Diceros bicornis minor: one gene and its partner. The protein of the gene in region 2 purifies or fractionates together with the protein of the main gene of each other region. This does not show direct contact. Links are inferred from orthologs where the notes say so. Each region holds a gene or a part of one and is shown on either strand. Other genes may lie near its edges.

What was found.
Region 1: the proteins of UBE3D (region 2) and DNAAF2 purify together in Homo sapiens (affinity purification with mass spectrometry; 4 studies listed by BioGRID and IntAct, counting the BioPlex papers as one, with this or other methods). This does not show direct contact. The link is inferred for Diceros bicornis minor from reciprocal best matches to the Homo sapiens genes UBE3D and DNAAF2.

The regions. Positions count from the first base shown.
Region 1 is NC_080744.1:2,322,885-2,331,257, reverse strand, and holds the start of DNAAF2 (protein kintoun), read right to left. Parts: upstream 3,466-8,373; 5' UTR 3,448-3,465; coding exon 1,555-3,447; intron 1-1,554. UniProt on the Homo sapiens protein: Required for cytoplasmic pre-assembly of axonemal dyneins, thereby playing a central role in motility in cilia and flagella.
Region 2 is NC_080762.1:48,601,059-48,609,342, reverse strand, and holds the start of UBE3D (E3 ubiquitin-protein ligase E3D), read right to left. Parts: upstream 3,247-8,284; 5' UTR 3,195-3,246; coding exon 3,118-3,194; intron 1-3,117. UniProt on the Homo sapiens protein: E3 ubiquitin-protein ligase which accepts ubiquitin from specific E2 ubiquitin-conjugating enzymes, and transfers it to substrates, generally promoting their degradation by the proteasome.

The DNA of each region.
Region 1 (8,373 bases), on a different chromosome or scaffold from region 2:
CAGCCTTAACAAATGTGATGATTAATGAATTATACATTTATTTCAGGTTTCAGATATAAAACACAGTTGCCCTAATCCCATTTTCATCTAGTTTCTGTTAAAATAATGTTAGCATACTAGAAAGTCAGATTAAAATATATTCTTTAGTATTCTCTCAACTGTCTGTAGAGCTTTCTTCCCACATTGTGAGTTATTTTCACATTTATTAAAACAATTACAGGAAAATGACTGCCCTTTCCTAAATTTCTCCCTTCTGATGACATAAACAGATAGTCAATTTCATATTTTATATCCTCACAAAGTATCTTATACAGCCCTGGCTATTTATTTTACCATTTTTGGAGGGTTTCAAATTAACCACTTCTCACATTAGATAACCCTCATAAAATATAAATGTAACTTAGCAAATTTCTAGAAAAACAATGGGAAGAAGTGAAAATTTCTAGCAGGTTAAAGCCCAAGGCCAAAAACTTAATTTTTAATATATAATCTGTGCAACTAGTATTTCTGGGAATTTAACCCTTGAATATGTTAAAAAAGCTAAAAAAAAATTACATGTAACATTGATACAAACCTCAACCACACCAATTGTTTATGAGATTAAAAAGTTCTTTAGAACTTCAAATTTTAAGTAGTTTTTTTTCAATATTTGCCAGCAGTACTGGAGTATTGAATCTGAAATTCAAGAACCTCAATAACCTAAAAAGTATAGTAGCAACTACAACAGGACACACTACGTTATTCATCCGAATTATATCCTATCGCATATATCTAAGTAAACTAGGTCAGCGCAGCCCCAGTTCTAGAGTATTCGCCCAGAAGAGGCGTAGCTGGTGTTGATGCTGTTCAGTTGAACAACCGTTTATATTACACTGTTACATGCCGGCCATTGTGCCAAATACTGGTGGAGACCTCAAGTAGATTAAAACAGACTCAAAAAGAGGCGATTTCCATGTAATATATAACGCCCACCAGAGGACACCCCACCCCTGTCAGCGACTATATGTCGGCAGCACCATGTGGCCCAAAGGGCAAGGGATCTAGTTCACCCCTGGGTCTGAGTCCGTTTTCCCACGTAAGAACTGCGTGGCGCCGGCTGGGTCACATTTGCTCTCCGGAAGTAAATTTACCTTCTAAAGTCGGAAAACGTTATTTACCAACTTAGAATATGGCCACAATGGAGTGCCCCACAAACCTATGTGGGTCACGAGCCCCTCAGAGAATACGACTCAAAAGACGGCCCTTCTCCCCAGAGGAAAGCACCTCGACTTCCGGCCCACAACTGCAGAGTGACCCGGGGGTCACTCCGGGGAGACCAGCGCGTGAAGGGCGGCTAAGATGTGAGACCCGCCCACCGAGGGCACGCGCGTCAGCTTTTGGTCGATGGTCGTCTAACGCGCGCTGGCACGTTTCATCACGTGCACCAATTTCGAGTCACTACCAGAAGTTACAATGGAAAACGCTGCGTTTGGGATAAACTGAGAACGCCCGTAACAGCAAATCTAAAGTGGGACGGAATATTTCAAACGCTAAGACTCTAGCAAGGACCGTTACCTCCAAAGAATCGCTGTTTAAGCCGTACCACCAGGCCGTCCAGTGCCCGCGGCACTCTGGAGCCTTGGCCAGCTCTATCACCGCGTTGTCGAGGGACACGCTGACCACGGGCTCCCGGGGGCCCAACGTGTTTTCCGGAGCAAAGCGCAGAACCAAGGCGTAGGAAGCCGAGTCTCGGGTGGAGAAGCGCAACTGGTACCCGAGGGGGCTCAGGTCCCCGTGGAGACTCTGCGGCTGGATCCGAGGCACCTGCACCAGCAGAGTCACGGACTCCTCGTTCTGCCTGCACTGTGAAGGGGGACACACGGGCTCCCGGCGGGCGGTCCCGGGACCACCCATGGCCGCACCCGGGGGCTCCCCGCCCGCGCCTGCCCGGGCCCCGCGCGCGTCTCCTCCTCCTGCACCGGAGCCCCTGCCCAAAGCCCTGGATGGAGCGCCGGGGGGGGTCCTTGCTCCGGGGGGCGGCTCCTCCCCGACGGCCGGAGTCCACACTGCCGGCCCGCCTGGGCCCCGCTCCTCGCGCTGCTGCTCCCGCTCCCCCTCTCGCTGCTCCTGCTCCTCCCGCTGCTCTCCCCGCTCCTCCTCCTGCTCCTCCTCCTCTCGATGCTCCTGCTCCTCCTGCTGCTCTCCCCGCTCCTCTTCCTGCTCCTCCCGCTGCTCTCCCCGCTCCTCCTCCTGCGCCTCCTCCAGCTCCTCCTCCCGCTGCTCCTGCTCCCCCCGCTGCTCCCCACGCTCCTCCCGCTGCTGCTCCTCCTGCTCCCCCCTCTGCTCCTCCTCTTCCTCCTGCTCCTTCTCCTCCGGGCCCCGTGCGTCAGTTCCGGGCGCGCGGGCAGGCTCTTCCGGCGGCGCGGGGCGCGGGGCGGGGCGCACGACGGGCAGCGTGACCACCAGCTGCCGGCGGGCCCGGTGGAAGTGCGCCGTGCCGCGGCCGTCGTCCACGGGGTAGGGGAGCGAGAGGCGCAGGCGGTAGTCGGGGGCCCTGGAGTCCAAGCTCAGCAGCCGCCCCGTCACCTCCAGCGCCGCCTGCTCGGCCGAGCGCAGCAGCGGCAGCTCGATGGTGACCACCAGCTCGTGGGGCACGGGCCCGGGGGCCGAGTCGCGGGCGCAGCGGTAGTCCTGCAGGTCCACGTGGTGGCGCTGCACCACGCTGTAGCGGGGCTCGGTGGGTGCGTGCGGCGGGCCGGCGGCCGGAGGGGCGGGCGCGGGGGCCCGGGCGGCCGGGCGCGGGGCCGGCGGCGGGTAGGGGTAGGGCAGGCCGGGGAGGGGTCCCTCCGGCTCCCCGTCGGGCCGCGCCGGGCCGGCCCCGGGCAGGGGCGTGCGCAGCACGGCGGCCTCCGGGGTGCCCTTGTACTTGATCTTGAGGGTCCTGGCGTTGGTGCGGTCCAGCTTCACGCCGCACTGCGTCTCCACGGCGTCCAGGGCCGCGGCGTCCAGCATGCGGCGGAAGCGCTCGTGGCGCCGGGCCAGCGCCAGCGCGCGCGGGTGGAAGACCACGTCGTAGACGGTGTAGCGGCCGCCGCGGCGCCCCAGGTACTCGCGGCCCGGCGCCAGGCTGTAGGGCAGCGACCACTGGCCGTCGGGCCGGCCGCGGGGCGCGCCCACCAGCGGGTTGCTGCACACGTTCACGAAGCCGCGCCGCGCCCCGTCCAGGCTGGTGCGCAGCACGTGGCCCGGCTCCGGGTGCACGAACCGCACGGCCACGCCGCGCTCCCGCTCCAGCGCCGTGACCTCCGCCTCGTAGCGCCGCCGGTTCTCCGGGTCCGTGAGCTCCTCGGCGTACTCGGAGAACATTCGCCGGAACTCCGGGTCCCGGAAGGCCGAGGTGAGCCGCTGGACCTCCTCTGCGCTCAGGTCCAAGTCCTCCAGCGCCGAAGAGGCTGCCGCCCTGGCCATGCTGCCCGCGGCTCCGGCCCTCGGCCGCGGGAGATGGGTCCCGGACTGGGGGGTGGGTGCGCCTCGGAACCGCTTGTCCGGAGAGTGCGGCGGCCGGTTCCGTAACCGCAACCGCCGGCGGAGAGCTGAGCGTGGGCAGCGCGTGCTGGTTGCCGTGGGGACACCGCCAGCACCCGGGAGGGAGGAGGGGCAGGAGGCGGGGAGGGACGGTGCAAAGGCCAGCGTAGACTTAGTAGCAACTTCAGACCCACCAACTATGCTGCATCCCGCGTTTTTTAGATTCTTGTGACATGGTGCAGGTACTTCTGCAGAATAACCATCATCATAATTGTAATATCCGGCATTGTTCACAACACTTCAAGGTGGGCTTGATCCTCCTTTCACAGACAAGATGGGACCTGAGAAGTTACCTAACCAAGGTCACACAGCTAGTGTATTCACAGGCTGGGATTCAAGCTGGAGTTGATCTGCTTTTTTCACATTGCTAAACCAACATTTCAGTCTTTTGGATATGTCTCCATACAGTTTGCCCTGCAACAACTCTCATTTGAGCAAGACATCTCGGCAGGCTGTTCATAAATAACCAGTGATCGATAAACATAATGACTTTACCACTAATAAAATGCAAATATAAGATACCACATACCACCTATCCAAATGGCAAAGGCTGTTATTACAGCCCCATATTGTACCTCCTTGGGGTGGTGCTGGAAGTTAGTAAAGCGTTTCTCAAGACTCGTTTGGTAGCTGTATCAAAGCCTTTAGAATGTAATACTTTATTGATCCAGCAATTCCAACTCCAACAGCATGCTCAAGGCAACATTATGTATGATTCTAAAGGTTGGGGAAGAATGGAAGGATTCAACAGTGGGACTGGTTGAGCAGATTTTTTTTTCTTTAATTATTTATTTTTTCCCCCAAAGCCCCAGCAGATAGTTGTAGGTCATAGCTGCACATCCTTCTAGTTGCTGTATGTGGGACGCGGCCTCAGCATGGCCCGGCAAGCGGTGTGTCGGTACGCCCGGGATCAAACCTTGGCTGCCAGCAGCAGAGCGCGCGCACTTAACCACTAAGCCACAGGCCGGCCCAAGCAGATTTTGATACAGCCATGCAAATGGGATTCTGTGCAGCCCTTCAAAGTGATGTTGCAGAAGCAAGTTCATTGACTGGAGTAGTTGTTAAATCCAGTGCTCATTTTGTTGAAACTCTCAGCAACATTTACTACAATTGATGTTGGCATTACTCTATGACAAGACACTTTCCAGGTTTCTCTCCTAGTTCATCAGACATCGACACTGTGTGGTCTGCTTTGCAGGTGTTTACCTCGATTCAACTTCTAAGTGGAAACACCTCAAGGCTGTGACCTCATCCATTTTCCATTTACATTGTCTCCTTCGCAGGTATATTTACACTCACAAATACGAGATTCATCTGTCAGGGTCTAAACTCCAGCTGCCCATTTTAGGTCTCCATTTGAATGATTTAACGCGTAAGCTCCTCAGGCTTGAAATGACCAAAATTAGAACTCCTGACTCCTCTCCTTTTCCAGCCTCTGCCTTCCTCTTAGGTTAGGATCTCCTGGCAGCATGCAAAGCGATTGACTGCCCCCCTTGAGACACATTTTCTCTTGGTTTATAGAACTCCGTGCTTCCCCTTTTCCTCCTCTGCTTGCTCCTCTTCTCCCCCTTCTGTAAATGTAGGGGTCACCCAGGTCTCGTTCATTAGCCCTCTTAGCTAATCATATTTCCTCCAAGATGATCTTCAAGCCCACAGCTTTAACTGCCGTCTGTGCTCAGGTTGGTTCTTTTCCCGGCTGTCTGTGGCACACTCGGTGCGCCTGCTGTACAGGTAGGTAAGGAAGGAGCAGGACAGTCGTCGTGCTCCAAGGATGTGAGGCAGCTGGCACTCTCAGATGCTGGAGTGCATATTGGGCCAGTCGCTTTGGAAAATTGCTGTTGAATGTAATGTATACTTTATGACCAAGAAATTCTACTCTTAGATATACACCCAACAGAATCACATACATATCCCTATCAAAAGACATATGCTAAAATTCGTATATTCATAACAGCATTATTTGTAATACACCAATAGTGGAAACTACCCAAATTCCCATCAGTGGTAGAATGGATAAATACAATGTGTATATCCACACAATGGACATGAAGGAACCATGTGGATGGATCACTAACAATGTGTGAAAGAAACCAGGTGCAAAATAGTACATACCGTATGATTCTGTTATATAATAGACAAAACTTGGCAAATAAATCAGTGAGAAATCAGGCTGATGATTGTGAAGGGGGCGTGGAGTGGGGTATTGTGATGCGCAGGGGGCAGGAGTGAGCTTCTGGGGTGAGGGTAACGTTTCTTAATCTTGCTAACAGGGTGTGCAGTTTGTGAAAATGCATTGAGCTGTATGTACACTAGTAATAGGGGGCTTTTATGTATGTATCGTGTACTTCAATCTAAAAGTTTTTAAATACCTGTAAAAAAAATTGCCTTCGTGGATCTCATGTGGGATGAGACTAGTGACTCCAAAATTTTATCCCATACCTGAGCTCTAGACTCATGCCACTGCCTGCCAGATACCTCTGCCTGAATGTCGGATACGCATCTCAAAATGGAAATCTTGCTTCTCCCTTCTCGAACCTGTTATTTCCCCAGTCTCAGTACTGTCCACCCAGCCGCTTAGGCTTAAATCCTACAGGTGATCCTTGATTCCTCTTCCCCCTACCTTGCACTGCCGTTCAGTTACCAGGTCCTGTCGGCTCTTCCACTCCCCAAACACACCCACTTCTTGCCGGGTCTGGTCTTGACCACGTCATCTCTGTCGCAAACTTCTGCAGTAGCTTCGTGACTGGTCTCCTCACTTCTTCCCTTCTCATGACCTCGTCTCCACGTGCTAGTCTTAGTGATCTTTAAAACCAGATCTGCTCAACACCTTCCCGTTGCCTGACATCCACATTCCTTGCTGTGTCTACAAGGCCCGTCATGCCTTGATCCCTAACCCTTTCCATACTCGCCACCGAATTTTCTCCCCCGATCGTTATACCTCATTCCCGATGGCAGAATACTCTTGCTCCTGTGCAGCCTGCACACGGGCCCTTGAATCTCAAGAAGTTGTGTCACCATCATTGACTCCCTGTGACAACCTCTTCCCGCCTCCAGCACCCCATCTGAAGTTGCCCATGTCATTCTTATTTTCACCGTGGTTCATATTTGGCATTTTCTTGTTTGTTTTAGCGTGTGGCTTGCCCCATTTGAAGGTAAGATCATGAAAATGCAGCCCTTGCCCTTCTGGTTTACCACTGGATTCCCAGTACCTGGAACATTAGGCCCTCAGATATCTAATGAATGAGTATAATACAGTACAGAAAAAAGCACATTTAGTATGTATAGTATGATCCCAAAATATTTTTGTAGGAAAAAATAAGCATAGAGAAAAATCTGGAAGGACATATATCAAAATATTAACAGATGATCTCTGGTGGTGGAATTGGTGGTCATTAAAATTTTTGTCTGAGCCGGCCCTGATGGCGTAGTGGTTACAGTTTGGCACACTCCGCTTCTGCGGCCTGGGTTCGGTTCCTGGGGGCAGAATCACACCATTCATCTGTAGGCCGACACGCCGTGTTGGTGGCTCACATAGAAGAACTTAGAAGGACTTAGAACTGTGTACTGGGGCTTTAAAGATTTACATCTGAAGTAGCTTGGAGACATAGAGATGAGTTCTAGAAGATCTTCAAAGCTTGTGAGGGATATATAAAATTGCACCCTTTCCTATTATAACCCTGATGTCAATGAACATACCCAATGATTAGCTGTCAACTTATTTTAAGTTACCTTTGAACTTCAAAATTCTGGACACGTTTCATCTTAAAAAGGTGTTTGCAAACATGGATACATCATACTGCTCACATGACAACAGACCACACCTAGCTGTTTGGAAATGAGAACACCCTCTGAGATTGTGTGTAGGGGTTGGGGGGATAGGTTCAGGTATGTGGATTTTTCTGAGTAGAGAGCCTTTAGCTTTCATTAGATTCTCTAAGAAGGGTGGGTCCATGCCCTCCACCTTGCCAGATTTCTTACCATGTGACATCCCCTTTCCCAGAAGAAGCTCTTTGAGAAAAGACAATGGAGTTGTGGAAAAGCCCAGTGGCCAAAACAAACGATTTGTTGCCTAAAATCCATCCATTGAGGAAAGGCTACCCTTATTAAAATATGAAGGCCCTTTGAGGGAGAAGGACTGAGTATTAGGGCCATTATCAGTTACTTATTTATTAGAAAAATTTTTTTGCATTTGTTTTATTGAGGTAACATTGGTTTATAACACTATATAAATTTCAGGTATACATCATTATACTTCAATTTCTGTGTAGATTACATCATGTTCACCACCCAAAGACTAATTACAATCCATCACCACACACACGTGTCTCATCACCCCTTTCACCTTCCTCCCTCCCCCCTTCCCCTCTGGTAACCACTAGTCTAATCTCTGTATCTGTGTGTGTGTGTTTGTTGTTTTTGTCTTCCACTTATGAGTGAAATCATAAGGTATTTAGCTTTCTCTGTCTGACTTATTTCGCTTAGCGTAATACTCTCCCCCCCCCCCCCAAAGCCCCAGTAGATAGTTGTATGTCATAGCTGCACATCCTTCTAGTTGCTGTATGTGGGACTCGGCCTCAGGATGGACGGAGAAGTGGTGCCTCGGTGCGCGCCCGGGATCCGAACCCGGGCCACCAGCAACGGAGCGCGTGCACTCAACCACCAAGCCACGGGGCCGGCCCTACTTAGCGTAATACTCTGAAGGTCCATCCATGTTGTTGCAAATGGCACAGTTTCGTCTTTTATGGCTGGGTAGTATTCAATTGTGTATAGATGTATACATATACCATATCTTCTTTATTTATTCATCCA
Region 2 (8,284 bases):
GCTGCTATTGTTCAGAGCTGTATGCCCAACACTCAGAATCTGAGTTTTTGGTACTAGAATAGGAACTCAGTAAACATCTGTGGACTGAATAAATGAATGACCAGGGTTTATCCCAGGAATGCTAAGATAGTTTAACATAAATAACCTTTTCTACTGCAATTCACAGATGTAAAGATTAAAGGAAAAAAATAGGACCATCACAATACATGCAAGAATCACTACAAAAAAAACAGTATCTATTCATGATTAAAACCCTTGGTAACCTAGGAATAAAAAGGAACTACGCAATCTACCAAACAGATTCATCAAAAGTCAACTTCGTCATATCTAATGATGACCCCTGCTAGAGGCATTTAAGATTAAGAACAAGAATAATACTCAATATACTATTTACATTAACTGTAAATAGACTAAAAATTATAATTAAAATGAAGAGATTGTCAGAATGGAGTTTTAAAAACTCCACCCAGTATAAAGTATATACTTAAAAACTTATATATAAAGACATAGGTTGAGAGTAAAAGGGTGGAAAAAGACAAACCATGCAAACAATACAGTCAACTGATTTCTGATACAGACACTGAGTTATTTCAATAGGAGAAATGACAGTTTTTTTAACTAATGGTAACAGAACAACTGGATATCTTTATGGAAAAAAAACGAACTTTGACCCCAACCTCACTCCAAACACAAAAATGAATCTGACATAATCATGGACCTAAATGTAAAAGCTAAAACTATGTAACTCCTAGAAAATAAACATAAGAAAAAAGTCTTTACAACTTTGAGGTACACAAAGATTTCTTAAGACATAAAAAGCACTAACCATTAAATAAAAAAACGCAACTGGACTTCATTATAATTAAAATTTTCTGTTCATCAAAAGACATTATTAAGAAAATGAAAGGGTAAGTTACAGATTGGGAGAAAATATTCACACACTCACAAGGCATGAGACAGGTCTTGTTTCCAGACCATATAAAGAACTCTTTTAATTCAACCCTAAGACAAACAACCTGATTTTTTTTTTTATTTCTTTTTTTGCGCGTGTGTGAGGAAGATCAGCCCTGAGCTAATATCCGATGCCAATCCTCTTTTTGCCGAGGAAGACTGGCCCTGGGCTAACATCTGTGCCCATCTTCCTCTACTTTATATGGGACGCCGCCACAGCATGGCTTGACAAGCAGTGCATCGCTGCAGGCCCAGGATCTGAACCCGCGAGCCCCCAGGCTGCTGAAGTAGAGCATGCACACTTAACGGCTACGCCACCAGGCTGGCCCCCTGATTTTTTTTTAATAGAAAATAATTAGAAGATACTTTATGAAGGAGCATATATGAATGACCAAAAAGCAAATATGAAGGTGCTCAACAGTATTAACCAGGAAAACGCAAATTAAAACTACAATGAGATATCACTTTATACCACTAGAGATGGTTAAGATCAAAAAGATTGTCAATACTAAATGCAGACAAGAATGTGAAGCAATTGGAAGTCTCATTTTTTGCTGGCAAGAATATAAACTGGTGCAACCATTTTGGAGAACTGTTTGGCAGTTTCTCATAAAGTAAAGCTCCCATCTACCCTACGACCTAGCAAGTCCATCCAAGACAAATGAAAATGTATGTCCACAGAAAGACTTAACCACAACAATGTTATGGCAGCTTTATGCATAATAAGCAAGCTCTATAAACATGCAAAATATCCAGCAACAGAAGAATGGATAAATGAATTGTTGTATACAGTGGAAAACTACTCAGCAAGAAAAAAGAATGGACTACTGATATATGCAATGCCATAGATGAAAGATGAATCTCAGAAACACTGTTGAAGGAAAGCAGCCAGAAACAAAAAAGTATATACTGCATGAATCCATTTATACATAGTTCAAGAAATGGCAAAACTAACCTTTGCTGAATGAAATCAGAACAGTGGTTGCTTTCAGGGTAGAGGGAACTGGCTGATGATAAAGATCAACAGCCAGAGGCCACCAGGGACAAAGCAGTCGTCCAGTCAAGTCAGGCTTCTTAACTTGCTTAAACAAGGGAGAGGAACCCAGGAGAAACTTGAAGGGCCCCTGTGATGGAAGTAGGGAGGCTGGCTTGACTTGTTTTGTTTGGGCTCCTAATAACCCTACAAGGTGGATTGGAATTGGAGATACTTACCTGAACTCATGATTTGAGAGAGAGAGAGGAAAAAAGAGAGCGGAAAAAAAAGAAGAAAAGTAATAAATATCATCCCCACGTTACAACTGAAAAAATTCAGATTAAATAACTCAGTTCTCATGCCAAATCCCAAACTGTCTCACTAGACACCTGGCTGATTTAAGGAAAAAACAGAAAGCTAAGCATCAATCTACCTCAAGTGTGGCGCTGTGTAATAAACTTCTCAGGATTTTAACATCTAATTTACCCTGAAACAGCAGTCACGATGGAATAGTCGAGGGGACCACATACTACCAAACAAAAAAGAGAACACTTTTCCTAAAAGTTTGTTTGTGTAGTGAATAACAAGTTAAACGTTTGCAGACTTCTCATTGGAACCCGGAATATGAATAAAAGAATGACCTCCAGTAAGAAGTCTGCAACCTTTGTCAGTCGTTCACCCAACACACGTTTACTGAATGACTGTGTCACTTTCTCAGCACAGGACAGAAAAAAAAAAAAAAGAAAAAACCCTGAAGTTATTTACAAAACAGGAAGCTCACCCACTGGAACTGATTTTATAACAAGGATTCCGAAAGAGGTAGACAAGGCATTTTTTGCAATGTTTTGTTGGAAACGCCGGGCACTGGCAACGGTATTTCACATCCAGTGCTCCTCAAACTTTAATGTGCATTTGAATCCTGGGAAGCACGTTAAAATGTAAGTTCCGATTCAGCAGGTCTGGTGTGGGGCTGAGACTCCGTATTTCTAACAAGCTCCCAAGTGATGCCTGGACTGCCAATCGACGGGGGGACTATGGCGTGGGGATCGAGGGGGGAGAACACTCCACCTTGAGTAACCGAGAGGCTTTAAGCAGCTGGAAAGAAGAAACTCAAAATCGGTGTTCCGAGGGAGGCAGAGACTCCCCGAGAAGCAGAAGAGCGAGCCGGGCTCCGCGCCCGCCCCTGGCCTTACCCCAGGATCAGCAGCGCGCTCTGCAGCCGTCTCCGCACCTCCAGGAACACGCGCGTCTCCGCCGCAGGGGACGCCATGGCGGGCGCCCGGCTGGAGGTTCTGGCGAAGCAGGGCCACCAGGGCCTGGAGCGCCTGCACGTGCGGCCCCAGCAGAAGCGGCAGCAGCGGCGGCGCGGAGCTCCCGGACCGGCTCGCCCCGCGGGCAGAGCCTGCCAGCCCACAGCGCCGCCTGCCGGGCGGAGAGCGCGCCGCCGCGGGGACTCCACGCCGGGGCGCGAGCATTCTCAAATCCCGGCTTTCCGACTCGCTGAGACAGGTGGGCGGGGAGAGCCATGCTGTCTTCCCACTCCGCGAATTACGGGCGTGACCTGATGCGATAGTCTCCCTGGAAATGACCTTAAAAATCAGGGCCGAAGTACACCCTTTTGGCTTCCGCGGGTAGGGAAGAGGCTGGAAGAGGGGGATGATGGACGGAGGCGGTGGAAGCGGCCACCGTCCCCAGAAAGCCCGAGAGTAGAATTCCCCACGCGAAGTCCACTTTATCTTGTTTTTCTTTCTTTCTTTCTTTTTTTTTTTTTTAAGAACTGTGGTCTCTTTTTTATGAACTATGGTCGGTCGGTCGTAGCTCTCCCCTGTCTGAGGCAACAAATATCCAGGGTTGACTTGGCATTGCTTCTCAATTTAGACCACGATGGAAACACTGGCAAAAATGTGAGAAGTTTTCTGTCTGTGCAGAGAGTGTGGTTAAATCCAGTATCGTGAATCACAGGATAAACCATTCCTATAACCTTTGAAAAAAGGAAGATGAGAATGATTCCATATGTACATTTACACTATTCACTTTTGCAGAAGTAAAAACTGACCTAGAGAAGTTGTAATCTCATAACTACTAAAAGAAAGTTTTGGTTAAGTTTGACAGGGTAAAGAAAAAGATCTAGTATAATGTAAATACTTATAACTGGGGAATATTAAAATATAAGGCCACGGTAGAATTATAATAATAATTCTTTAAAAACAAGAGGCTGTTATTTAAAGCAGAAACAAATGATGGCATATACAGAAAATCGTATGTTTATTGATATTCTACTTTATCATTTCAAGGTCGTAATTACCACACACCAAACATATTAATTTGAAGATTTTCCAAATAATAAGCCCACTTCCCTAGAGATACTAGTTTAAGAGAATTTTTCTAAAATCAGTATTCAGAGTTTTTTAAGTTTATCATATTGTTTCACAAATTCCTGTATCCATCACAATAATTCAAAATTATGAATGGAGGTAATGATACAGTTAAAAGAATTGTTTACTGCTATTCCGTCTCAAATAGGAGTGATGAAGGGTGATGATTTTAACTTCTATCTTCCACCTTTAATTCTCAAGGCTATTAAGTGCTTAAATACTGACACGTTATTTTGCAATATATAACATTTTTAGCACAGTATGCTCTTCATAATTGGTGTTTGATTATTTTTAAAGATTGTTATATTTCATCTATAGTCATACATTCGTAAAAAAGTTCAATTTTTTTTTGACCCTACGGTTTAGGTAAAATGGTGTAATCCTCCTTGTAGTAACTACATGATTTAGAGAGTTCTAGACTCAAAATAGTTCCAAATCTGGTAACAACTATTTGTTTCCCAACTTCACAAGTTTTCTAACTTCTCTGGGCCTCAAATTTTTCATATGAAATACTGAACAATTATTTAAATAATACTTAATTCTTAAATAATATTTAAAAGCTGTTCTCAATTCCTAGCATCCCGCCAAACTCTCCATCAAGGTGGGGCCGGCGCTGGCGAGTTGAAAACACCTGCTACAGCCCTCTCCAAGCCCACTCCCGCAGTTGGTGGCCGTGGGCCGCTTCCTCGACAATCCGCTAGAGGGAGCTGTCGCGACAGCTTGTGACGGGAGGGAGGCAGGGAGGGGGCGGGACCGAGGGCCGTCGACGTCGACGCCGGCGTGGGCGCGGTGCACGCTGGGAGCTGTCAGTAGGCCCTTGGGCTCCCGGCCTCGGTGTCGCTGTCGCGGTTGCCAGGAGAGCGGCGCCGGCGGGGAGCGGCCGAGCCCACGGCAGGTAACAGCGTCCCCGCCCCCAGCGCGGTCGCGAGGCCGGCCGCCGGCCCTCCCTGAGCGGCCTCCTCAGCCCGGCTCGCACCGGAGCTGCGGGGACGCCCCGCGGGTCGGCGGCTGTGGCGCCGGGGGTGTTGCCGCCCTGGCCCCGCCTGGAGCCCGCGCGAAGCCGGCCGGCCGCGCTCTGGTTTCTGGGGACCCGCGGGCCGGGCGGAGGCGCCCGCGCAGGGGTCCGGAGTGGCCGGTGGCCGGTCCCGAGCCTTCTGCGCTGAGGCCGAGCCGTGCGCAAGGTTGGGGTGGAGGTCGCACCTGTGCGATCGGGGCGCGCGGGGTAACCTCTTTGTTGGCAGAATCTAGGCATCGTCTGGTCTCCTTCATCTGGTGGGTGCTTTTAAGATTGAGGAGACGTGAAGGCCAGCCATGGTTAATGTTCCGCGGGGGGGCGGGGGGCGGGGTTGCAGAGCAGTGCAGAAGTTTATTAGAGGAAGTCCGATTAGTCGTAAGGAAGTTGTTAACAGTGATCACCTTTGATTCTCAAGCCTTTTCAAGTTGCGACATAACAATAGTTACTTGTTCTCTTCCATTCTTCTCCCGTATCCTGAGGGGGGAGGGGGGGTGACACAAAACTGTACTTTTTTTAAAGCTAAGTAAATTGTGTTTTGATTATTCTTACACTATCTTAGAGTTCTGTGGAGGTTGACAAATATAAAGATTGGGAAAATCTGATTTGGAGATTGTAATTAAAGCAATAAAAACTTTTTTTTATATAAGTACCAAAAAAATAATAAGCTAAGCTAAGGCTGACAAGCTCTGAACTATAGAAAGACAAAATCTCTCAATTGCGATGTCGTTGGCTACCTTCTATGCAGACATAAGATCTTGCATTTTACTGTGGATAACACACGTCGGCTAAGTAACTCACCCCCTGATAAACAACACAGTGATTTAGTTGAGTTGACGGACGTTATAACAAGAGTAAATTAAAACCAAACCAGTTGTGGTATAAATGCTTTATTTTAGTGATTACTTTCAGCTGCCACTCTGAAGGAACTCATTGCCTGGAATTGCTAAACAATAGCAAATCGCCAGGTGGGCCTGATTATTAGGAACCCAAGTCTTAAAGGAAGAATTAAAAACACCTAAATTAATACACAAACCAGAAAATATGACACCATAACCAAAATGTTGAATGTAAGTTAAATGTTGTTAACTAAATGTTTGAGGGTTGACAGTCAAGCCTGTCCTATTTTGTAGTTAAATTAGTGGAAAGAGCTCTGGCCTAGGAATGAATGATTTCACTCAAGTCCTTTGTTCTGCTAACCAGGTATGATCTCTCTAGGCCTCAGTTTTGTCACCTGTTTTAAGGGAATTTCATAGGATCAGAGTTTTGCAAACGGATGCTTCCCCTGAACGCTGTTCTGAATCCATTAATAGGCTTACTGCCCCAAAACAGTGTTCCATGGCAAATAATTTGGGAGCACATTGGGTTAAATTAGGTTTAACTTTTAATTTACTTTTAACTGCAGGACTTCTCAAAACCTTTAATGCTATGTTTATATGCATGTAAATTTCCAGAGAAGATTATCGAAGCGTTTCCTAAACTTACATGGCCAGGGAGCCTATTTTCTCATGGCCAACGTGTTAACATCTCCTAGAATATAATTACATAGAATACCTATTTGAAAATTACTGTACTTGAACTGAGTCCCCTTTCAGCTCTAAAATTCCCTACACTATGCTTTTTCGGCTGTCAGTTTAAGCTCTCTGGAGCATGAACATCTAGTGGCAACTCACTGGTATAACAAAAAGCTTAGTTAAATATTAATATTAAGGGTACACATAGGTTTCTGTGAGACTTAATGCTTTCATTTATGGCAGGAGATTATCTTCTTTTTTCTGGTCTCTTGGTGCTTTTCTATAACCATAATTAATTCATGTTTTGAATTTGATTTTATGGTCAAGTTATGGATTTTGTTAATGGTGCTATAAAGTTCCAACAAGTAAATTCTTGATAATGGCATTATTTTTATTATGAATGGTTTGCCTCTCTAGTCATGAATTCTTAAACTATGAAATGTGATAAAAAGCCACTTGAAACGTACTTCATAATTAATAACTACATAATTTTAAGAGCTTAGGTCATTGAAAAGAGTTAAAGGTTAAAACAAATTCTAAGACAGTTATTTCCAAGTTGCTTACAAATGGGATCTAAGTGTTGAATACAATCTTAAATTATTTTGCTAAATTCTATCAGATATCACTAGCACACATGGATACTTCTGTCCGTTCTTTGTTACTTTGTTAGGGGTGAGTGCTAGTAATGTGCTCCTTTGTTTGAGGCGGGTGGGAATAGTACCTTTAATTTTAATGGATAAGCCTTAATTCAGGTAAATTCTCTTCCTGAAGTGAAACTATTAAGTAGAAGTATATAGCTGCTATTTTTGTATAATAACTAAAAGTTTTTATTGAAAATTTATTGTGTGCACATAAGTTCTTTTGATCTCCTTGTCTTTAAATTGTGATTTCCCTTTTTGTTGCATTTACTTCCCCCCTCCCCAAGCTATCCAAGCCTGAAACCTCAATGACTTTTCATTGTATAGGTCAAAGATATGCTATCGAATTTATTAAGGAAAAATTTACATATAATAATGTGCACTCATTTTATGTGTACATGATACACACCCCCCAGTAACCACCCCCATAATCAAGATTTGGAACATGCCACCACTCAGGCCTGTATTGTTACACTTTTGCTCTCTTCAAATGCTCTCCCTGTCTCTGCATGTCTAAATCATACCTATCGTGTCCTAGCTCAAATGCCACCTTGTCTGTGAATCCTTTTTTGATTACCTCATTTTGAAGTAATTTCCTTCTCGTCTGACTTTCGTGTATATATTCCTTTGAACATCCTTTTCTGTCCTTCATGGTGGCTAAACCAATGGGATGTTAACCAAATAGACAAAATGTAGTATTTCTCAAACTTCACTCATTCTTATATCATCTTCAAAATTTGGGCCTAGCTGCATACTTCCTGTATACTGATTTTCTTAATATTTCTTTATATCAATGTGATTATTAAAATAATTTTTAAAGG